6 linked regions of the Oryctolagus cuniculus genome follow. The protein of the gene in region 5 interacts with the protein of the main gene of each other region in a biochemical or structural test. Links are inferred from orthologs where the notes say so. Each region holds a gene or a part of one and is shown on either strand. Other genes may lie near its edges.

Region 1 (2,888 bases), on a different chromosome or scaffold from region 5:
AGCCTTTCTCCTTTAAGGGAAGATGAAGTAAAAAGAAGAAACCAAAGCCAACAAATCACAGACTACAACTATCTTATTTTCAAAACTGTAATTAGGTATTACCAAATAAAGTAAATAAACAACTCTTAAGAGTGCAAAATGAAAACACCTTCTTGTTTTAAAGGTACAAAATCAAGAAAATACAACACAAATATATCCACATTTTAAATAGTTACATGGTGAGTAAATGGCATTTTAAAACATTTTCAATAGAAAACTGATTTATAAGTCAATTTATAGGAGATTCAAAAAATCAAATGTTTAATACCAACTTTAATTATAAATAACTAAAAAGAAAAACCATCCTCTATTCTTCTATTTTTGCATCAACATCTACGTCTTCTGCTCCTTGCCTTTTGGAGAAAACATTGCGTTGTAAGGCTGCCGTCTTTTTGGACGAGGACAAGGATCAAGATCTTCCTTAATGTAACCTTAAAACAAATTACAAATTTAGAAGACTGCATTTGTAACACATATTTCTCTCAGCACTTTTTTAGTAAACATTTTATTTGAAGCCAAGTTGATGTGATTCTCCTGGTTGCTAGCTGAGGTATGATCTCTCAGCATGAGTTTCTTTAGTAACAATAACAGCAGCAAACATTTACCACATGCTTTATATACATCATCTCAGGTAACTCAAATTCTTCTGAAGTAGCTTCCACAGAGCTACTTCACAGACGAGGTGATGGAGACCCAGGCAAGGTAAGTAACTCACTCAAATTCACAAAGCTAGGAGTGAGAGAGCTCTATCTAGTAGCAGAACCAGAGTTATAAGGATACACTTTCCTCTTCTGCCTCCCTTAGGTTGCAATTGGGAAAAACTGCTAAACATGAACTCTATTATTATGACAAATTCCAGGTGCTTATCAAAAAGACTTTACAGTAGCTATTTCATTAGATGACATGCCTCTTTACTTTTCAGACCATTAAGACTTTTTTCCAAGGTGTCCTCAGTCACATAATTTCCAGGAGTTGACTGAACTCTGCCATACCCCAAGGCCCCATTAGGACTATAACCAGAAGTTCTATCCAAACTACCTGGTTCTGTGGGATGACAAAGCAGAGAGACATTATGTCAAAGGGGACTTAATCCAGCTTGTTAATGGGTAAAGTGGAAATATGGTAAATAGTATCAAAGACTTCACATCTTTCAGAAAAACTAACTTACAGTTGACTATCTGTAGCTTGTCAAAATGAGAAAAGTTGTGGTGGGCATTGCAGTGCAGTGGGTTAAGCTGCTGCTTGGAATGCTTACATTCCCTATGGAAGTGCCCGGTTCAAGTCCCAGCTGCTCTGTGCTTCTGATCCAGCTTCTTGCTAATGTGCCTGGAAGACAATGGATGATAGCCCAGTCTTTGGGTTCTTGCCACTCATGTGGGAGAGCAGAATGGAGTTCTTGGCTCCTGGTTTTCGCCAGGCCTAGCACTGGCTGTTGTGGGCATTTGGGGAGTCAAATAGTAGATGGGAGATTTCTGTCTCTCTGCCTTTCAAATTAATTAAAAAAAAAAAAAAAAAAAAAAAAAAAAAAAACACCTCTTCAAAGAAAAAAGTGAGGAAGGGTCTCTACTTTTCCTCAAACAAACCATCAGAAAAGAAGTGTTGCTATAAAATGGCAATTTTAGGTGGTAATCTTATCATCTGATATGCATTCAATGTTATTTTATCTTCTTCTGGGCAAAGGTTTTATATATTTATTTACAACTTATAAATACATGCCTGAGGCCTGAAGTCTACTAATCAGTGAAATCTTTCATAAATCTAGAAACCAAATTATAAACATTCTGAATAGTACTGTATTTTCCAGTCACATTTCAGAAGATACATCATATTTCCAAAAAACTCAGTACTTTAAACTACAAAGTAAGACTTAGCTTTAACTGCGTAGTCTTTAGACCATGTGGAAAAAGAGCAAAAAAAAATACTAATTAAGTTCAGTTAAATTTATTTATGCACACATTTGATGTCAATATTTATCCATTATGTCTTAGGACAATTTTGAGTTGAAAATTCTTCAAAAAATCTGAATAGATCCTCTTTTGAACACTACACCAACATTCCTTTAATTACATCTGAGTTTTAGACTATGTTCCAAAAAAAAAAAACCAAACATCCCACCTAAGAATATAGTTCTGTAGGGAGTAAAATCTTTAGAATTAAAGAGGTGCCTTGATAAAGACTATTAGATGGTCTGATAAAATCCGCTGGAATGCTATCTTCACAACAAAGGGCTTGTTGAGTTGGACACTGCTTAGCTGAGTAACTCTTTTAAGGCTATATACCCTAGAGCATTTTATTTCATTTAAACCAGTGGTTACAATAAAGTTCAGGCTCAATGACTATGCATGATTGAACTTCCTAAATACTGGGATAGTACAGATGGCTGGTAATAGCCTGGCACAGAAGTGGGAGTATGCTGTCCCAAAGACAGTTACTATGATGTGAGGACTCTTGGCCAAATCTGGGAGAAAATTAACATAAAACCAGGAAAGTCTGTATCCACATTATTTTAGCATAGCACTCACTTGAAAGTAAGTAGTAACAATAAGATAATAACAAAAATTGCTATTTATGATCTTTTATTGTCACCTTTAAAGATGTATATATTCTCAAATTATATTAACTACTAAGTGCTGCATGTGAGTGAGCTAGTTAAATGTCAACAGGCAAACCAACATCCTTTTTATTCAGACACAGCTTATGAACATCCAGCATTCTGGGTGAGGTTTTAAATATAAAATTAACATAATAGATTTAAAAAGATACTCTCTTTTTAGCAATAAAAATTTACTGGCAACTTGTTGCTATTGAAATAAATAATAATGTCATTTTGACATTAGGATGAAAAAGAA
Region 2 (3,676 bases), on a different chromosome or scaffold from region 5:
AGTCAGACCAGGAGAGATATTCTATCTGCTGGTTCACGTTCCAGATGCCCACAGCATTCAGCGTTGGGTGAGGCCAAAGTCAAGAGCCTTGAACTCAGTCTGGGACCAACTCCTTGAGCCATCACCAGTGCTTCCTAAGGTGTGCATTAACAGGTTTCTGGAATTGAAAGTGGAGCTGTAACTCCAAACCAGACACTCTGATATGAACACAGGTGTCTGAAGTGGGGACTTAACCATTGAGTTTAATAATACTTTTAATCTTCTACCTGAAGTAGATTTTTTTCAGTTATTCTTCCAGTGAGTATCTGTGGTTGGTAAATTTTCTCTTTGTCTGAAAATATCTTAATTTCTTTTTTTTTTTTTCAATAGCATTTTATTCATTCATGTTAAGTCACCTGAAATGATCTGTTTTAAATGCTCATTAATGTAAATGGCTGAACAAATCCATTTCAATGGATACTCAATATCCCACATAGTTAAGTCACTTCAACACAGCCTCATGACAACTCCCACACCAAAACAGTACTTTATTTTGTAAATTTTGACCCATTATTACTCCCAAGTTATGTTTTTATCAGCTGTCAAGTGTACAAGGTGAAGATAAGTTTTAGTTAGATGGGGCTACACCTGGAAAATAAATTTCTTAAAACTCCATATACACGCTTCAAAACTGCTGGGTCCCAAGTCCATCTATGAACTCCAGGGCTGCCAGTATCACGGTGCAGCATATTAAAGCTACACTATCTGAATAGCTTATTAATTCTGCATAAATCAGGTCAAGCAATGTGTCAACCTGTAACAGACTGTGCACTCTAACTGAACATGGCAAAATATTCATTCTTTTGAACTTTACATCATCATTTGATGTCAAACAATGAAGCAAATCCCAACAGTATATACAAAAAACAGCTTTGCATTTACAAAAGATTGTTTCCTATACTGATTAATCCAGGCAGCTAACTCATTGGTTTATGCAACTTTATTGAAGAAAAATAAATCAATTACTAGCAGAGCTATTAGTTGATCACTCATCCATTGACAACTTGCATCATTTATTCAGTGCTATATTAAACAGTGTATTGGAAGATAGATTAACTAATAGCTCCAAGCCTCCTAACAATTTAAATGAAAATTACAAAATGTTTGAGACCCTATTTTGGAATACAAAGGGTGTTTGACTTTCAATTTCCATTCTCTGTAGAACAAGAACAGGTCATTCCTTTATTGACATGCATAAAATACATCACATTTTCTGTTCTGCTGATGCTATAAATTCAATACCAATTCTCCAGCCACATCAGTTATGAGCATAAAGTATATCATGTAACCTCAAATCTCTAACAGTGGAAGGCTTAAACAAGAATGGATGCTGCTAGAATAATGCTGCTTCCTTTGATGTGACAACTGAGCATCCATCTCCCTCCCTCTCAGATGATTTCTTCAGCATGTTAGAGCAGTGAGGAATGGTTTTAGTCTCATAACCAAGTTAGAGTGAAGACATTGGCCACATAATACACATGCTCCATTTTTTTAAAAAATTCTGAATCTTGGGCAACTGTTCTCTTGTAACTACTTTACAGTTTCTAAAAGCAGTTATTGTCCAAAGCTGGAAGAACTTAAGTCTTCTCAGATGAGCATGTGAATGAATGGAGGGAGGTAAACAAAAAATAAAATTAAAAAAGATGAGGTCTGATAGGGGAGCAGCCGGATAAGAAAATCAAAAAAGGAACAGTAATTTAAAGTTTATTCCAGCTATAATGCAGGTTATTCTGACTTTAAGGTAGCATCACATGGCATACTTCTGAGTCCATTCCCGAGATATTCTGTTGTACTTATCTCTGTCTGTTTTATAGATCCGTGCAATCTCTGGCACTAGGGGGTCATCTGGGTTTGGATCACATAGCAGTGAACAAATGGATAAAAGAACTTTAGAAATAGTTAAAGCAGGAGACCACTGTGATCTTAGAATATCGAGACAAATGCTGCCATTACTGTTAATATTTGGATGATAAATTCTTGTTGTAAATGCAACCTTAGGTGGTTTGAAGGGGTAGTCTGTAGGAAAATGAATTGTCAAAAAGAATACACCGCCTTGATATGGGCTGTCATTAGGTCCCATAATTGTGGCTTGCCAGTGAAACATATCATCCCCAACTGGACCTGCAGAACATTGTGCTGGAGGGTCACGGGCCAAATCACTAAGTTCCTTATTAATCCGTTTCAGCGCCATAGTCTGTGCTTTTAGTCTGGCTCCTCTCTCCCTCTCTCGGTGTATGCTCAGAGGTCCGGCCAAAACTCTTGATTATCCGGGCGGCGGGGAAGGATTGTCTCTTGGTCTCACGCCGGCTCTGCCAGACACAGGCGCTTGGTATGGAGGCGGCGGGTATCGCGAGAACGACGTGGACGGCTCGAAAATATCTTAATTTCATCTTCACTCTTGAATATTGGTTAAAAATGCTGTGGAGTTTTAGTTTGATAGGAATTTTATATTGAGTAAATTTCTCCAAATATTTAGCTTATCATACTACTGAATCGGTATGCTTTCTAATTGATCTTTGTCTTCCTACCTTCTGAGTCTCTTTTCATGACAATTTGTTTTTAACAGCAGTTAACTTCACAAAGGGCTCCATTGTGAGAAAGCAAAGGAAGATGGATAAATTCAGTTTCTACCTTCTCTTGCTGCAGTCATATTTCTTTCTTCTACATTCATTGTTTTCCTTTCCTGCCTGGAAGTTGGGTGCCTGTGGCAGACTTGAGATCTATATCACAACCTTATTCATTCCCTGAAAATTTGGCCAAGAATGGTGTGAGGTGGAAGCAAATAGAGCATTTCAGCTGTGAGAGAAAAATTATTGGCGTAAGGAAACAAATGTAATGAGCCAGAAACTGGATCAAGCTATACCAGCATGAGAAATAGTCACAACATCTAATGTGACCCGCAGAGATAAACAAGATTTGACAAAGGCATTTTGTATGCACCAATCAGTCTTTCAGCTTATTCAGGAATTAGGGCCTGAAATATAGAGATCTTAGAACACTCAGAATCCTTGACCAGACATAAATAATGAGTGCCCATTTACAGTGGAAGAAAATTAGTTCTATAAAACTGAGAGACTTGCCAATATTAGCTGCCAAATTAACAATATTGAGGAGCTCGATTCAGTCATTGCCAGTCTCTCCACCAGGACCAAACATCCTGACTTTTTCAGCACATGAGGGGTTATCAAAGCATTACCAAGATGTTGGCACTAAGAACCAGCCTCCTGTTAGATGCATTAACTCATACAAGTAACAAAGGAGGATTCCTTAGCCATCCTCTTCCATTTAGTTTTCCCTGAAGCAACGAAAATTCTAAAAGACAGATGAATGAGCTCTAATAGCACATTTTGTTTAGATTTATTTTCATTTCAATTCTTACATGCACCAACTACAAATCATCTCCTGCATAGGTGGTGAAATTGCTTGATTATAAGCCAGAAAGAACCAGCTTGCTGTAAGATATTTTGAAGTCCTATGACGTATCATCACCCTTCTAACAGGGATTACAATAATAGCTGGTACTTACTGAATCCATATTGTGGGCTTGGCACTGTGGCATTTAACATAGGGTGTTTGATTTAATCCTCACAACAGTCATACAGCATGTACACTACCATCATCTTCATATTGCAGAAGA
Region 3 (4,124 bases), on a different chromosome or scaffold from region 5:
TGAAAATGTTCTGGGTTTTCCAAATAGTGCAGATTTTTCAAAATGGACACATAGCGACACTTAAGAGCTGAGCATTTACTCTATGTAAATTATAACCAAGAATAAAAATTCTCAAGTGCTATGGTGATTATTGTTTCATAATTTACATTTTGTGAATCCATGTTGAAATGTTTACAGATAAAATATGCATATAAAACTTGGAATTTACTTAAAAATGAAGATTGGTAGCGATAAAGTGGAGTGTTTATAGTTAGATATGATTAGGCAGGCATTGAAACATTGTGAAAGTTGGGTGATACTCATGTGAGAGTCTTTGATTCTACTTCTGTACATGTCTGAAAATTTTCCATAATAAAAAACTGAAAAGAGAGGGATCATCTAGTTCACCTCCTCATTTACAGGAGGAAAAGCTGTAAACAGGAGGACATAACTTGCTCACGGCCTTAAAATCAGATGGCAAACTAGCTCCCGTGTCTGCTTTCTTCCTCTGATCCCAGGAAAACAAAATATGAGCGGCTGTATCGTCCAAAGGCTGTTTTTCAAAAGGGAGGCAAGGAGTGTGAGGATCTATTAAGTGATAAATACTTGTGATCTAATTTTCACATTTTTTTTTTCTTCGGAATCTATCTGTATCATTTCTTTCTACCACCATCCCCTCCCCTTCTTATGTATTGGTTGTCACCTGTCATCTATCCATCTTTTATCTAACAATCTATATATTTAGCTATCTCTATCCTTTCTATGTAGTCGTTAGCTTCCATCCCTTGTGGTTTCAAGTTGTGCTTTATAGGTGGAAAGCACATCTGACTCAAATTTCAGAACCCAGATGCGTGCAAGCGGCAGAAAAACAGAAACAGACCAAGGAACAAACGAGGCAGCAGAGCCTTGTTCTCCCCTCCGTGCTAAGCCCATCTCCAAGAACCGGGCCAGGAAAGCAAGGCCTTCTGCTGGAGGGGGGGAGCCTGGTTCTCCCTTCTGGTGTGATCTAGGAACAGCTGTTTTCCACCCAGCACTGACAAGGGTGAAAATGCGTTAAACGACGCAGAAATCGGCGGGGGCTCTCTCGCGTGTGCCGTGTAAGGGGAGGGGGTGTCAGCTCGGAGGGCAACGTGCACCACGTTGGATTTGCCTCCTAGACCTTGTCCTGGGGTCTGGAAACGAAGCCGCGTTTCCAGAGCGAAAAGCCTTGGGGCCGCTCGCTTTCGACGGCTGGGGAATATTTATTGCCTGCTTCACAGATGGGGAAAAAAAAAAAATCAGCTTCTGGCAGCCGCTGATTGGTGGAAAAGAAAATGGTGAGAGCCTGGTAGGGAGACGATTTGACGAGTCCCCTCGTGCCTCCCGAACCTGTATCTGTTGCTCGGTGGTCCCCAGCCTGCCCGCGGGACCCTTTCGGGCTCACCCGGGGTTAAGCGAGAACAGAAAACCTCGAGGATGTTCGAACAAAAGCGACCCTGCACGAGGCGCCCCTCGGCCGTGTGCTAAGTGTCAGGAAGCGGGCTGACGCGGGGCAGGTGCAGGCGCCCCCGCCGCGCCCCGTGTCTCCTCCGTCCGCTCCCGGAGCCAGGCTCGGCTGCGACGCCCATTCCTCGGTCCCCAAGCCCCAGGGTTAGGCTCTGCTGGGAGCGAGGTCCCCGAGAAACCAGAGGAAAGGAGACAGCGAGGGAGCGGGTGGAAAGAAGAGACCTCAGCCCGAGCCAAAGCGCTCCGGAGGTCCGCACGTTCCCGGTGCCTCTGAGCCTGCGGTGAAGCACCGGGCCCCGCGCCTTTACGCCTCCCAGGCCGAGGCGGCCGGCTGCAGTGGCCGGGGCCACCTGCCCCGCACCCCCTCCCCACGGAGCACGAGAGCCGAGAGCACGCGCCGGGAGCGCAGCGAGCGCGGGAGAGGGGCGGGGAGAGGCGCTGACAAATCAGCCGTGGGGGCGGTGAGTCGAGGAGATCCGGGCGCCGGAGGAGGAGGTGGAGGAGGACGGCGAGGAGGAGGACGGCCGCGACCAGGGGCCCGCGAGCGGGACGACGGCGGAGCGGGAGTGTGTGCTGACGCGCAGCGAGGTGTGTGCTTGGCCTCTGGGCAGCCCCGGGACGCAGCCCCGCCCTGCGCCTACCTCCAGCCCTCCGCCCGCCTTCCCTCGCGACCCTCGCTTTCTTCCTCCCCCATCCTCCGTGCGGGGGACGGGGAGTGGCAATTGGACGCGAGGTTCGCGCGTGTGCCTCCCACGTCCCCCGCCTCCCGTCGCTGGCTTGCGCTGACGGCAGCCTCCTCTGGGGATCATCCGTCTCTTGGCGCCGCCTCCGCCCTTCCTGTGCGCTCCCGTCCCCTCCCTTGGCCCGTTTAAATAATATTTGGCACTTGTTTAAATTAAAGGGAAAGGGGGGGAGGGGAGGACTCGGAGTCCCGGAGAAGCAGAGTTCTCGGGTGAGTACCTGTGGCTCTGAACGGGCAGCTTTGGAAATCGTGGAGAAACCCGGGAAGGCAGAGGAGCCGCCGCGGACGCGGGGTGGTGGTAGGGTGCACCCCAGGACCGCGGTGTCCAGGCTCTTGGTGGGGCGTGCAGGTCCCTCGCGTGCACGTCAGGAGTGGATGTTGACCCAGCTCTCCCCGGCCTCCCCAAAGGCTGCGAAATCAGCGGCTTCTCCGGGGTGCGTTTTCCCCGCGGAAGCGCCGGGTGCTGGGTGGAGCAAGAGCATCCAACTTTTCTTCTCTTACGGTAACCGCCACCCCGTAGGCCGCTTTTTCGCTGTTTCCCGAGAAGAGAGGAAACAGCTTTGGCCAATTTCTAAATAAAGTGCAGAGGGGACAAGGCAACAGGTAGGAAGGGGTTAACAGGTGCAGGCGCTAGGTGTGCTTGGGGGTGCGGTGCGGCTGAGAACGCCCTTTAGTGTGGCTGGCAGGGGTGTGGACGCTGCCAGCGGGTGAAGACCAGCGCCTGCTCCGGATAGATAGCAGAGGGCGGAGGTGGAGGGCACCGTGGATTCAGAGGAGCGTCCCCTGGCTCCTTCCTTGTTGTCTTGCGGTTTAACCACATGCAGAGTGAGTAGTGCTCTTCCCTCCCCTGGGATCAACCTGTTACCCCTCTTCTGGGATTCATTTTAAGGATGCGCCTGGCCATGGCCCCCAGCTCCCGTCCTTTTCCTGAGGTCTTTCCTCTAAACCTCCTGCTGACTTAGAGGGTCACCCTTTGGACCCTGGGAAGTTGGAAGAAGGGCGCATCTGTTCCTGCCACTCCACTTCTGAGATGCAGTAAGAACAGCTCAGATGCTCTCCCTGGTCAGCATGAGTCAAGATGGATGGGGGAGGAGAAATTCCTAAAGCTAAAGCTTAAGGGGAGTGGGCTGGGGTGGGAGTGAGGGGCGGACTGCTTTGTCCAGGTGGTTGAAATGAGGGGTCACGTCAAAGAGTTTTCACGCTTTTGGGGATTTCTACAGATTTTTAGTGTTTTCGTTTTCTGTTTTGTTTTTAGCTTGGATGGTTTGAATTTTGCTTGCTTTTACCAAAAAGTTCTCACTCAGCATGTATTTTGTGTTTTCCAGTGTGGTGTAAAGGAATTCATTAGCCATGGATGTGTTCATGAAAGGGCTTTCAAAGGCCAAGGAGGGAGTTGTGGCTGCCGCTGAGAAAACCAAACAGGGTGTGGCAGAGGCTGCAGGGAAGACAAAAGAGGGTGTTCTCTATGTAGGTAGGTAGCCCCCCCACCTCCCATGTCATTCTGATACTGGTCCCTGATTGATTAGTTACAATGATGGATACAAGAATGCTGACATTTCTCACGTGATTCGTTCTTGCATCATCACTTGTCAAAAGGATGGATTGAGTCGGAGGACTGGGTAGGTAGGTGAATGTGAAGGTGTATGTTTGAGCTAATCGTGAGAAAATGTGGCTAATCTTTTGTTTCCCCAGATTTTTAAATGTTGCAGTAACACTTAGAACACTTAGAACTTTTTTATCCTTTTTTTCCCCAATGAATGAGTGGCTGTATTCAGAGGGCTGTTTGGAAAACTTAGTCCTTTTTTAAAAAATTAAAACATTTCTAATGATCAAAATAATTCATCGACTATTGATCTCTTTTATCATGATGAATAATATTTACTAATTTTAATGTCTGGCAATTATAAAATAAGACTTT
Region 4 (4,099 bases), on a different chromosome or scaffold from region 5:
CCATGCTACAGGAACCAGCTTCCAGCAAGAAACTCGTGGCCACAAGACATCACTAAGACTTCTTCATACAAGGACAGAAATTTTTTTTTCTTTACTATTTTCTCAAATCTGGTTTGCATTTGGTTCTAATTGGCCAGGGAATACCCTAATCCACAGGTGATTTTTCTCCAGGGCAGGGATGAAGGCCTTTGCGCCCAAACCGCCCCAGCGAATCTGGAAATCTAGGTACGCGCAGTGCACCTTCAGCAGACAAGACCGGTCACCTTCGGACAGGGGTAAGTGGAGTTGTTTTCCACCCAGAAGATAACCCATAGCCGAATACTCCTATCTCGCAGTCATTTTTCCTTTCCCTAACTTACACTGTGCTTTTCATTCCATGTGAGTTCATTCTAGTTTGGAACCCTCACCCTATGCACTAACTTGAAGCTAAATAAAACCCTTTAACCTTCAAATACGCAAGTGACCTGATTTTACCAATTAATTCTGACCTCCCCCAGAGCAAATTCTGTTCCTAGAATTCCAGAGGAGAAATTTCTAACACCTGAGTTTAAACAAAACCTTTAAAAAAGGAAAAAGAAAAAACTGTTAAAAAGCCATCTGCTCTTGGGTTGAAGCTAGGAGGGCCTAGCAACAACTGAGGCTAAGCCCCCTGCCCCACCCCAGGAGACCAGGAAGGTCACTTGGTATAAAAACAAGCCTAACCTAAAGAAAAATGACTTTCTAATCCACCACCAAGACGATAGGAGCGGAGTAAAGAAACACTCTGACGTCGGCCTCTCCACAGTGCGATTTGTGGTGGATTTTTCCCAAATCAAAGTAAAATTTAGAAAGCAGCATTTTCTTCGAAGATGCTATTCCGTTGCTCCTGGATTGAAAGGTACACAGCAGTCTGGCTCCCTGCTCCATGCACACCCCTCGACCCTTGGCTTCCCACGCCCGTGCCGTCCTGGCAAACTGCCCTGTTACTAAGAGTGCTCCTCTCTGTGGGCCAGATGAGACAACACTGCTTCCTTTTATCACTGGACCTATCTCAGATTGAGAAACACTATGTGTGTTGTCCAAAGAATGGTGGTACCTGGGTGAATGTTCCTCTTCCCTCCCCCTCCGGTGCTAGTCTACTCCGCCTCACTTGTTTTCAGGAAACGTGTTCCACAATTTCGCGTGTCTCTTTCCAGACCACTCTACAAGTGCAAATCACTCAGAACTGCCAGTGGAAAACTGGCTGGACTGGCAACTGAAGGAGACGGAGCAACAATTCTATCCCAAAGGAACACGCTTGCACCAACATCATGGTGAGGGTTCCCATATTTCTGCCCATCTACCTATACCTGTTTCCAAGATAAATTACCAACCAGGGAGTCACTTCCGGCTCTGTGAACAAAAACATGCTTTCTTTCCGGAGGCACTTGACCCCTCTCTCAGGAGCACTGAACTGTTTGTGTTAAGAGGATTTTGCCATCAAACCATAGTCGGGGAAAGGAAGGTGGTGGCTTGCGGTTAGCACAAGGAGAGAATTTCCAGACAAGCAGATGGTCCGTCCGACAGTACGCCTGTCCAAGAAGTCAAGGGCAGCCCTGCGAAGCGAAGAGTTTAGACCGTACACTTGTCCTAGTCTTTCGTCCCACCTTCCCACACCTGCCACGCTCCGCAAAGCAACCGCCACACTGCAAAACACAGCTGTTTTGTTTCTCTAAGAATCCCATCAGCCTACAACGAAGGGCAATCGTGGGTGTGTCCAGGTGTGTCTCAGGTCAAACACAACGTTCCCAACATCCTTTCCTGTCTGGATTTCGGAGCACCTCTGTGCCTTAAAATCGGACCCAAAGCCCCAGCTGCTCGGGCTTGTATCACCAAGAGCAGCCACTATTAACAGCCTCTTAACGCGGACTTTCGCACAGAGGAGCTGGACGGGGTTGGGAGTCAAGGCCGGGTGGAGGGGCCAGAAAGGAACCCGGCTGACTTCTGGGATGAACCCCGAAGTTCGCGCGCAGCCCGGCGAAGGCGACGGACAGCTCACTCCGGCTGCCCCCCGCGCCCGCGCGCCTCCTACCTTGGACCTCTCCTTGACGTAGTATTTGCCCAGGCGGCTTCCGCAGTACAGGACCAGCCTGTCGATGAGGGACAGGAGGAAGCTGATGGCCTCGCAGCCCTTCTCGTTGCCCCCGATCCACGTGATCTGGTCGCCGCGCAGGTGCCGCTTGGAGACGCCGGAACGCGGCCCGGCCAGCTGGCCGTCCCGCAGGGCCCCTTCACGGTGCAGCTGCTTCACGCGCTCCAGCACGCAGTTGCCCACCACCTCGCCCAGGAAGTTGTCCAGGTAGCAGAAGCCCACCTCGTGCAGGCAAGGCACGATGTAATCCACGGCAATTTTCTCCAGATCCTGGCTCATGATGTGTGACAGGGGCATCTCGCCCGCAGGACGCAGGGCAGGGACACCCCACGTGCGCACGGGGAGCGGGGAGCGACCCGCCGCAGCGCCCAGCGGAGGCGCAGCGAGCGGAGCGCTGGGTTCAGGAACCTGCGGCGGGCACTGTCCGGGAGCCACCGCGCCACCGAGCCACCGCGCCACCGCGGCACCCAAGGGCAAGGGAAAGTTGTCCGCAACTCGGGCAGGAAGGGCTCGCCGTTCAGGGGCCAGCCCGAGTTGTGCGGGGCTCCGCGAACCAGTGCTGGACTGGCCCAGAGAGGAGTCCGAGGGCCCCTTTTGAGGATGCGGAGCCACCACTGCGGCGGCGGAGGCGGCGGCAGCGGCCTGTGGCTGGGAGCGGCTGAGGTCCGGCCCATGAACCGGCGGACTCGACGCGTCACGGGCCCCGCCCCGGGCCCACCCCGGCCCCGCCTAGTCCCCGCCCAGGGACCGCCCCCGCTCCGCCCTCCCCGACCCCGCCCATTGCCCCGCCGGGGCTGCCCCGCCGCCAGGGATCCCGAAGAGCCGGTCGCCAGTCTCACTTGTTTGTGAGCTGGAAATTTTCCAATGCTCTCTATTTGCATAGTGTTTTGCATGAAATCCTAAAACAAAAGTGAAAACCTGGATCCGCACTCTTACGAGTGAATGAAATTAGGAGCGCGGGGTATTGCCACGGTCCGTGCTGGCCACCGCACAGGCTTTTGAGCAAAATAACAAACGCAGCAACAAAGGCTCATAGGTTCTACGGTGGTCTCGTTCTTGCCCTCCCAAGTGCCTTTCCTTCTTCCTTCTCCTTGGCTCTGACACGAGCCAGCGGGCTCAAGCCGCCGGGCGGGAGGAGCGCAGTTGTAGCTAGCATGAACACAGTAGCATGGTCCCTTAGCTCCTACTCTGTGCTCAACTTAGAGGGATGTGGCCAATGAAGAATCGCCGAGCCATAGCCGATCAGGCACAGCAAATACTGCATTCTGCTTTGCTGGGTGTCTCCATCCACTTACCTTCCACGGTTTTAGTAAAACACGATGTTCTGAAATTCTACCTGCAAAATCAGTGACACAGCTATGTAATATATGGGCATATTCCTCGCCCTGTCCCCCAAGTCCCTCTTCTTTCTCCACATGCAGTTGTATCCCCACGCCAGGGAGAGAGGGACAGACACAACCGTAAGTTGTCGTAGTGGCCCACAGATTAGCTAACTGCATTGTGGGTTTTTTGACCCTGTCCTACTGAGCACTAGAAATCAGAATGGGTGTGTGTGTGTGTGTGTGTGTGTGTGAAGGGGAGACACATATATTGCATGGAAAGCCATGTCCATATTTTTGGTTTCACCTTAGTGTGAGCTTGGCTTCTTCACTGCACAACAGAAGGAACTGGCTTTTCGGGTATCGTGATTGTGTGCACAGTGTCCTGCAATTCTGTCACTTTTTCTCCTTCGTCCTGGCCTCTGCGGGAAGAAACGCAGTGAGGGCACAGGGAGAGGCTTAGGGGTGTTCTGGGAGGAGCTGTCAGCGTACAGGGTTTAAGAAACTTTGGTGAAACTTCTCACACTGAAAGGAAGTCCTCTGCCAAGTCGCTGAGTAGCTGACACTCCTGGTATGAATGGTCAGCAGGAGGCGCCACTCCTCGGAAGCTTAAATGGGTCAGTGCTCAAGGAGCTGTCACCTAAAATTCCAGGGCAGGCGCCCATCATCC
Region 5 (3,964 bases):
TCACTCAGTCTGGCCCCACCAAGGCAAAACCAGGTGGGACTCAAAAATTCAATAAAACTATAATAGTCTGATTTTTAGGCTGATAATTTTGTGTGGCCCGTGAATGATGTTATAAATATCCAACACTCTTGGCAGAGAAAAGATACCCCACCCCTGCAGAAAAGTGAAAGTATGAGACAGTGGCTCCCCAGAAATCCCATGGGGCATACTCCTACCCCCATAACACAGACACACACACACCTCAAACATAAGATACCCACTCTATGTCAACTATCACCCAATCTTCTTTAATCACTAGGCTGCCACACTCTTCACTCCCCTAAGAAAGCTATGAAAGTATTTTATTTAAATTTTATGAGAAATGAAGGGCTGAGGGAGGTAGTGTGCATTATATGAAGGACTGAAAGCAAAGTAACTTATTAAGCTTGCAAGAAACCCATCGTCCAAACCCTGATTCAAACCCTTATTTGAATATGCTATTTTAATCCTGATTTGTTGCAGGGCAGGAGACCAAATTAGATCACTCATTTTACTGATGTGAGTTCCAAGTCTGAATTCTCGGGTGGATTATTTTTAATTTAAAAGTGAGTTCTTGCCCTATAAAAAAAATAGTACCAAAGAGATATGCAAGGCAGCCTAAATGGCCAAAGAGGCAGAACAGTTAACTTTTAACAGCATTATTTCCACTTCTCAGTTTAGAAGACTAACTTTATGGTCTAGCTCTAGGTTCAATGATTATAGACAGGTAAGTGTGTGAAACTGCTCCTGGGGATTCTAAAGTAATGGCCGTAGACAAACAGATGTTATAATATGACCACACAATGCACTACTATGCAGCCATTTCAAGTGCATTAAGGTTGGGCTAGGCTCAGGCATTAAACAGCATGTGATAGCATCAATTAAGAACACCAGGTTGCAGAAGTCATTTTTGGAGCAAAATTTATGTGTGGGTATTAAAAACTCCTCGGCCACACACACAAGGAGGGCTCTATATTTAGCTGTGAGGATGCATAGAAGCATGGTTTAAAAAGTCTTCCCTCACCAAACCCAACGCTGATGGGAAAGGAAGGGAGGGGTCTTGGTCTTTCTGGACTTAACTTTTCTGGTCTGTGGTTTGGTAACTTAAAAAAAAGTAATAATAACATGCTGGGCTTCAAAGACTGTAACACAGCTCCTAGGAGCCCTTGTCAAGTTCCCAGTCGGCCTCGTTTTCACCCTGTTCAGTACAAAAACGCAGCCACAACTCCTCAGTCCCGGGGAAGGCCAGCAGAGGGGAAGGCGTGGCTTGCAGGGCTTTCTGGTTGCAGGAGGAAAACAGGCTCGGGCGCCCTTTTTTTAGCTACACTCCCGGGAGCTCCCACGTGTCAGGGGTGTGCAGACCGGGGGCGCGGGGCGCATGAGGAATCCTGTACGAGCGCTGCCAAGCCGAGTGCTGGTAAATGCTGCCTTCAGCTCGCCCATTTCCTCCCTCCCCGGTCCCCACGGTGAGCCACCCAGTTCAAGTTTTACTTGGGCGGCCCAGCCGTACCGAGCACACCCGAGCACATGTCGGCTGAGGACGCAGGCACAGGGCACGGAAGGCTAGGATGTGTTCCCACCAGCAGCGAGAGGGCCAATCCTTCTGGGTTCAGTGTCCGGGCAAATGTCAATCAACCCAGAGTGACTCCCGAAGTGGACAGGCCGGCTCGGGGGAAGAGTGGACGTAGGGTAGACACTGCCCCCCCCCAACCCCTTCAAACAAGAAAGATGCCCCCCACCTCTCAGGGCCTGCCGACAGGTCCCCGGGCTTACCTTGCAGGGAAACAGGACCGCCGAGGCCACCTTCTCCATAGCCAGGTTCCTGATGCTGGGCGTTAGGGCACCCCTGCACGTCGGGCAGCAGCTCAACTTCTGGCGGCATTGGTTACACACCAGGTGCCCGGCCTGGCACTGCAGGATGGGGGGCAGGACATAATCAAAGCAGACCGGGCACTCGAAGAGCGAGGTCAGCTCGTGGTGCTGCGGGGACACCGGGCCGGCCCCGCCGCCACCGCCACCGCCGCCGCCGCCGCCGCCGGGGCCCGAGATCACCGCCGCCGCGGCAGGCACCGCGGACGAGCCGGGGCCCGCAGCCGAGATGGTGGCGGCGGCCGGGGGCGCAGCCGGGGACGGAGCGTGCTGGGGCTGCGGCGGCGGCTGCTTGCTGCAGGGTTTGTTAGCGCTGGGGCCGGTGGAGGACGGGCGGCTCATCGCGTTCGGAGCCCACCATGGAACTGCGGGCGCCTGCCTGCCGCGGGGCCGCCCGGGTCAAGGCGGTGCGCGCCCCGCGGGCGGCAGGCTCCGGGGCAACGCCACGGCGCCCAGCCCCCGGACCGGGCAACGGCGACGGTCGGCTCTCGGCAGGCGGGCGGTGGGCGGGTGGGAGATGGGCTGGGCCGCGCCGACGCCCTCCGCGGCCCCGGGCGATCCGCACAGCCCTGTGCGTCCCACCCGGCGCGGTGCCTTCCTCCCTCCCGGCGGCTTTCGGGCCCCGACCCCGAGCGGCGCGCAGAACCCAGCCCAGCAGCTTCTGGAGCGGCCGCTGACGCAAGCCCCGGGGGCGCGCGCGGACGTGACGCCTGGACACGTGTGCGGCCGCCCAGGCGCGCGGGGACTGGCAGAGCCACCCTGCGCCCCGGCGCGGGCTCCGCCCGGTTCCAGCTGGCGGCGCAGGGGGCCGCCCAGTGCGGGCGCTTCCTGCTTGGGGCTGCAGGGAGCACGCCCCGCTCGCCCCGGCCGCCGCCGCCGCCGCGCGGGGTCGCGGTTCCCGGTCCGGGAAGGAGGGCCGACCTCCGGCGTCCCGTGGCCACACCCCGGGTAGCCCAGCCGTCCCGTTCCCCACCCTCAAACCACAGGGGCAACTTCGGGCGCGCGGGGGCGTGGCCGGTGGGCGGGCCGGCACGCGAGCTGGCGGGGCGGGGCGCGGGCGCCGGGGACATGTCGGAAAAACCCAGAGGTCCTCTTCCCTCGGTTGAGTCACCAGCGCGTGGGGGAGGCGTGCGACGCAGCCCGCCGGGCTGTCGCGCTTGGAACGCGGGGTCGGGACCAGGGGCTCGGAGGGGGTCTGCAGCCGGCACCGGACCTAGTGCTGGACTGTTAAGGCCGGGGTTGGGCTACTCGGTGGTCCTGTCTCGAGGGGTGGACAGGAAACCCCCCCCCCCCCTTATTCAGTGACCAGCTGACGGGGAGGATGCCTTGGTGACCCGAGCATCTTTAATTTGCATAGCAGTTCGGGGGTGGGGTAGCGTAGGCTAAAGCAGAGTTGGAGATCATCTAGGGTGCGTCGTGAGGCTCAGGAAGACTGTGGGCGCTGCGTGAGGACCGGCCTCGCCGCGGAAGCGATTCTGGAGGCGTGGCAGCCCGGCGTGAACCCCGTGTTCGTTGAATGGTTAAGATGTGCTTCGGGTTAAATTACTTTTGTGCACACTTGCTTGAGTCAAGGGAACGGGCTGCTTAGTTGGGAATTGGGTAGTCTTTGTGGGACAGAGGTTAGAACAACAGGTTGTCAACTGGGTGAAAAATGGTGCCTGTGTCCTTGATGTCTGTGGCTTTGGGCAAGTTCTTTTTTTGTTTGTTTCTTTTTTTTCTTTTATTTATTTGAAAGAGAGTTACAGAGAGGACTTCCATCCGCTGGTTCACTCCCCAAATGGCCGCAACGGCTGGAGTTGCGCTGATCCGAAGCCAGGAGCCAGGAGCTTCCTTCTGGGTCTCCCCACGCTGGTGCAGGGGCCCAAGGATTTGGGCCATCTTCTGCTTTCCCAGGCCATAGCAGAGAGCTGGATCGGAAGTGGAGCAGCTGGGACTCAAACCGGCGTCCATATGGGTTGCTGGTGCTTCAGGCCATGGCTTTAACCCATAGCACCACAGCGCCAGCCGCAAGGGCAAGTTCTTAAAAAACTTATCTGGGCCTCAATTTCCTCATCTGTAGAAGTGGAATAAAGGCAAT
Region 6 (4,250 bases), on a different chromosome or scaffold from region 5:
AGGGCTTCCGGGGATTGACTGACTACCCCGGGTGAATGCCCAGCCAAGATGCAACCCCACGTGCAAGGGTCCCCCCCTTGTCCTGCCAGTCTATAAAGAGGAGAATGTTTACTGACATTTCTCGGGATTCCTAGTAGAGAAAGTTCATCACTGAGCGCCTGCTAGGAACTGACACAGTGCTGGTGTCTCACATTCTCAGGACTCAGGATAAAGTCCAAACACTTTGCACAGTCCTGTACCATCCAGTCCTACCTAACTTTGCAGCCAGGTAGGCTTCTTTCCATTCCCCTAATAGGGCAATTCCCAGCCTGCCTAAAAACCTCGACAGAGCAATTCCCTTTGCCTGAAATATCATTTACCTGGCTAATTTCTACGTATTCAAGTCTCAGCTTCAATGTCACTTCTTCAGGGAAGCCTTTATCAGCATTCCCTACTCTCCCAAGCTGGACTGCATCATCCCCTGTCTCATCAAGCTGGACTTCTGAGTACCCACAATGCAATCATGTCCTTACGTGTGCACAAACATCTGCTCACGCTCTCTCCAGCCAGCCTAAGATCTTCGAATGTGGAGACCATCTGCTGTTTCCTTGTCACCAGGCACAGGGGCTGGCACTGTAGTAGCACTCAAACCATTTATTGAGTACATGAGTAAATGAGAACATAATGGATTAAGAGTTCAGGCTAGGAGTCAGTACTGTAGTACAGTGGGTTAAGTCATGGCCTGCAGTGCCAGCAGGCGCCCATATGAGTGCCAGTTTGAGCCCAGCTGCTCCACTTCCAATCCAGTTCCCTGCTAATGTGCCTGGGAAAGCAGCAGAGGACAGCCCAAGTGCTTGGGTGCTGCACCCACGTGGGAGACCTGGAAGAAGCTCCAGACTCCTGGCTTCAGATCAGCCCAGCTCTGGTCATCACGGCCACTTGGAGAGTGAACCAGTGGATGGACACCCTTTCTCTCTGTCTCTCCCTCTGTCTATAACTCTAGCTCTCTAATAAATAAAATCTTAAAAAAAAAAAAAAAAAAGTTTAGGCTGAGGAGTCAGTGTTAAGCAGCTGCCTGCAGCACTGGCATCCCATAAGGGCACGAGTTCAAGTCCCAGGTGTTCCACTTCAGATCCACCTCCCTGCTAATGCACCTGGGAAAGCAGTGGAAGATGGCCCAGGTGCTTGGGTCCCTGCACCCACGTGGGAGACCCAGGTGAAGTTCCTGGCTCTGGCCTGGCGCAGCTGTGGCTATTGGAGAGTGAACCAGCAGATGGAAGATCTCTTTCTATCTCTCCCTCTCTAACTCTGCCTTCCAAATAAATAAATCTTTAAAAAAAAAAAAAAGTAAGAGTTCAAGCTGGGGAGTCAGGTAGGCCTGGCTTGACCAGTAGTTGGCTGAGTGACCTTGGCCAAAGCACTTACCCTTTCTTGCCTTGGGTTATGCATTTATAGAGATAATACTTCTCATTCAGGTTTGTGATGATGAACTAAAATACGCACAGATCGCAGTGAGAATATCTGGTACAATGAAAGCCTACAATAAAACTAACTCATCCAACAAATATACAAGGCACCTAATTTTAAAGATAAGTTATATAAGATAAACTACTAATAATCTCCCCCAAAAAATAAGAAAAAAAGGGATAAAAAACTAAACTCCTTCCAACAATGCAGACTCCGTCTGCTATCTCACGGCACTCTCCCCCTTAACCAAAATGCCTGGCCGAACCCCCTTCTCCTCCAGCTCCCAAGCACTGCCAGCCTCCTTCCTTACCCGGGGACTGGACAAGCTACTCCCTCTCTGCCTCCTGCTCTCCCCGGCTACATCCTCCAGGATGCAGACTCGATGTCACCTACTCGGAGCAGGCGCCCCTGTCCTCCCCACCCCAACCCCGCGAACCAAAATTCGCGCCTGCTCATCTGATGGGTAGTGCGTGCACATCTGGCCTTTCCCACTGGCCTGCGGGCTGCTGGGTCCTGGGCGAGGGGCTGGCAGGGGCCTGGCGCACAGCAAACACTCCGTGACGCTGCGGGTACAGGCGGCAACTGGGCTGCCTGTGGCCGTACACGCCGCTCTGCCCCGGGAGGAGAGCGGGTCAGGCGACGGCCGGCGCAGAACTTACCAGGCAGGGAGCGTCTCCCTAGAGGGCAGTTCCCCTGTTGAGAAAGAAGACATCATCGACGTCACCCGAGGTGAAACGAGGGGAGAAACCGCTCCTCCTGCGAAGCGCGCACGCAAAGCTGCCCCGGCGCTGGGGACGGGCAATCTCCCAACTCCACGGACAGCCGCGACGGGCGCGGACCCCGCCGGCACACCGCGTCCGCCCGACCGTCCCAACTTCCCCACGGGACTGACTGACACCCCCGGGCTTCAACAGAAGGGACGGGACGGGCCCCCGAGTGTCCAGCAGAGGCCGTCCGATGTCGGGACGGGAGCGGCTCCCCAGCCCCGGCGCGCGGGGCGGGGGGCAGCAGGTGACGGTCGGTGCGGGTGCCTCGGGAAGGCCTGCCCCGCAGGCCTCGAAACACAGCCCCGAGGGCGAGGCGGTCCCGGGCCGGCCAGCCCGCGGCCTCTGCGTCCCAGTGCCCTTGGTGCCGGGCCTGGCAGGCGCGCTGCGCCCCCGCCTTCCCGGCCGCCCGTCTGTCCATCAGCAGGTTGCTCACCCGCCGAGGCTCCGGCCCGGCCGGACCATACCTTCTGGAGGGCGGAGAGCGAGCGGCTGAACGCCCGGGACACGCAGCGGGACCGGGACAGCATCGCGACAGCAGCGCTGAGGGCGGGCGGACACCGGATATAGGGCCCGGCAACAACCGGAAGTGGGGCGGGCCGCAGCACCCGCCACGCTGCGAGGGGTGTTCGGAGCGAACCATTGGCGAGGGTGGTGGGGGCGGCTGGGCGGCGCGGGGTCCGGCGTTCCAGAGCAGGCTGTGGTGGCCACTGAGCTGCCTGCTTGCCTGCCCGAGACAGCCCTCTCGAGGGTGCCTACGACTGTCGGCGACCGCAGGGCCCCCGGGGTCGAGCGTTCCCTGGCCATTCCCCGGAGCTGGCTCGGAATTTGGCCCTCTTCTGTCTGAGACCCCGGGGTACCTAGCCATTCTGCCCCCTGCCCCACGAAGAGAGAGCAAAAAGCAGGCACGGGCTTTGAACTCGGATCCTGGCATACGTGGCTGCCTGATCTTACACCTGTGTGGCCTTGGGCAGGTGTCACTGCCTCTCAGAGCATCAGGCTTCTCCCTCTCTCTCCCTCACACACACACACACACCCTCAAGCTCTCCTTCCAAACTGTTTCCTGTACATGCCGCACATTTTTGGAAATTGGCCCCGCCCTGAGAACGTGAACTCCTATCACCTGGAGTTTAAACTCGGTCTTGTTCGCTGCTGCACCCCAGCACAGCTCAGGTGCGCAGAGTTTGTGGGCGGAATCCGGGCCTCCCTGCCGTCAGCACACTGCTCTGCTGCTCCCTAAGTGAAACCACGTGGCCGCCCCTTAGGTCCCCAGGCCCCTGAATGTTATGGATCATCACCTGCCTGATAGAGACGGCGGTTTATAAACCTGCGGCTGAACTGGTAATTGATGAAGTGTGACCGAGTGGTCTGTGCCTGTGCCTTCTGGTGTCTTCACCTGAAGCAGCTTACCTGGTCAGGACTCTCCAGGTGCTGAAAGTACCACTGGGGGTGGGGGGCGGAGAATGCAACCAGAAATCGGGAGAAGAAAGGGCAGGCATCGGCCGCGGTGCTCACGTCCTGCCTTGCATGCCCACGTCTCGTGTCAGAGTGCCTGGTTCAAATTCTGCTTCCTCTCTCAAGGACCCCCCCGGGAGGCAGCGGGCGATGATTCAAGCTCAGATTTTAAGACACAGGGAAAGCCGGCGCCGAGGCTCACTAGGCTAATCCTCCACCTTGCGGCACCGGCACACCAGGTTCTAGTCCCGGTCGGGGCGCCGGATTCTGTCCCGGTTGCCCCTCTTCCAGGCCAGCTCTCTGCTGTGGCCCGGGAGTGCAGTGGAGGATGGCCCAAGTGCTTGGGCCCTGCACCCCATGGGAGACCAGGAAAAGCACCTGGCTCCTGCCATCGGATCAGCGCGGTGCGCCGGCCGCAGCGCGCCTGCCGCGGCGGCCATTGGAGGGTGAACCAACAGCAAAGGAAGACCTTTCTCTCTGTCTTGTCTCTCTCTCTCACTGTCCACCCTGCAGGGAAAAATCCGTGCCCCGCTGCCGCTGTGACCAATCCTCGGTCTCCCTCACCTGGATTATTTCCGAAGCTCC

The links.
Region 1: the proteins of SIAH2 (region 5) and RBBP8 form a complex in vitro, tested with the Homo sapiens proteins (2 studies listed by BioGRID). The link is inferred for Oryctolagus cuniculus from reciprocal best matches to the Homo sapiens genes SIAH2 and RBBP8.
Region 2: the proteins of SIAH2 (region 5) and ubiquitin-conjugating enzyme E2 D3 form a complex in vitro, tested with the Homo sapiens proteins (5 studies listed by BioGRID). The link is inferred for Oryctolagus cuniculus from reciprocal best matches to the Homo sapiens genes SIAH2 and UBE2D3.
Region 3: of the proteins of SIAH2 (region 5) and SNCA, one has a biochemical effect on the other in vitro, tested with the Homo sapiens proteins (4 studies listed by BioGRID). The link is inferred for Oryctolagus cuniculus from reciprocal best matches to the Homo sapiens genes SIAH2 and SNCA.
Region 4: the proteins of SIAH2 (region 5) and EGLN3 form a complex in vitro, tested with the Homo sapiens proteins (2 studies listed by BioGRID). The link is inferred for Oryctolagus cuniculus from reciprocal best matches to the Homo sapiens genes SIAH2 and EGLN3.
Region 6: the proteins of SIAH2 (region 5) and DLST form a complex in vitro, tested with the Homo sapiens proteins (2 studies listed by BioGRID, with this or other methods). The link is inferred for Oryctolagus cuniculus from reciprocal best matches to the Homo sapiens genes SIAH2 and DLST.

What each region holds. Positions count from the first base shown.
Region 1 is NC_091441.1:54,669,278-54,672,165, forward strand, and holds the end of RBBP8 (DNA endonuclease RBBP8), read right to left. Parts: intron 1,366-2,888; coding exon 1,214-1,365; 3' UTR 501-1,213; downstream 1-500. UniProt on the Homo sapiens protein: Endonuclease that cooperates with the MRE11-RAD50-NBN (MRN) complex in DNA-end resection, the first step of double-strand break (DSB) repair through the homologous recombination (HR) pathway.
Region 2 is NC_091438.1:28,033,138-28,036,813, forward strand, and holds ubiquitin-conjugating enzyme E2 D3, read right to left. Parts: upstream 2,404-3,676; 5' UTR 2,231-2,403; coding exon 1,787-2,230; 3' UTR 501-1,786; downstream 1-500. UniProt on the Homo sapiens protein: Accepts ubiquitin from the E1 complex and catalyzes its covalent attachment to other proteins. In vitro catalyzes 'Lys-11'-, as well as 'Lys-48'-linked polyubiquitination.
Region 3 is NC_091439.1:75,753,502-75,757,625, forward strand, and holds the start of SNCA (alpha-synuclein), read left to right. Parts: upstream 1-1,324; 5' UTR 1,325-2,052; exon of another isoform or gene 2,053-2,809; intron 2,810-2,843; exon of another isoform or gene 2,844-3,241; intron 3,242-3,531; 5' UTR 3,532-3,556; coding exon 3,557-3,677; intron 3,678-4,124. UniProt on the Homo sapiens protein: Neuronal protein that plays several roles in synaptic activity such as regulation of synaptic vesicle trafficking and subsequent neurotransmitter release.
Region 4 is NC_091443.1:41,510,024-41,514,122, reverse strand, and holds the start of EGLN3 (prolyl hydroxylase EGLN3), read right to left. Parts: upstream 2,801-4,099; 5' UTR 2,785-2,800; coding exon 2,578-2,784; exon of another isoform or gene 2,531-2,577; coding exon 2,051-2,530; intron 1-2,050. UniProt on the Homo sapiens protein: Prolyl hydroxylase that mediates hydroxylation of proline residues in target proteins, such as PKM, TELO2, ATF4 and HIF1A. Target proteins are preferentially recognized via a LXXLAP motif.
Region 5 is NC_091435.1:130,614,544-130,618,507, reverse strand, and holds the start of SIAH2 (E3 ubiquitin-protein ligase SIAH2), read right to left. Parts: upstream 2,801-3,964; 5' UTR 2,230-2,800; coding exon 1,792-2,229; intron 1-1,791. UniProt on the Homo sapiens protein: E3 ubiquitin-protein ligase that mediates ubiquitination and subsequent proteasomal degradation of target proteins.
Region 6 is NC_091451.1:20,942,912-20,947,161, reverse strand, and holds the start of DLST (dihydrolipoyllysine-residue succinyltransferase component of 2-oxoglutarate dehydrogenase complex, mitochondrial), read right to left. Parts: upstream 2,801-4,250; 5' UTR 2,741-2,800; coding exon 2,678-2,740; intron 2,140-2,677; coding exon 2,106-2,139; intron 1,194-2,105; exon of another isoform or gene 1-1,193. UniProt on the Homo sapiens protein: Dihydrolipoamide succinyltransferase (E2) component of the 2-oxoglutarate dehydrogenase complex. The 2-oxoglutarate dehydrogenase complex catalyzes the overall conversion of 2-oxoglutarate to succinyl-CoA and CO(2).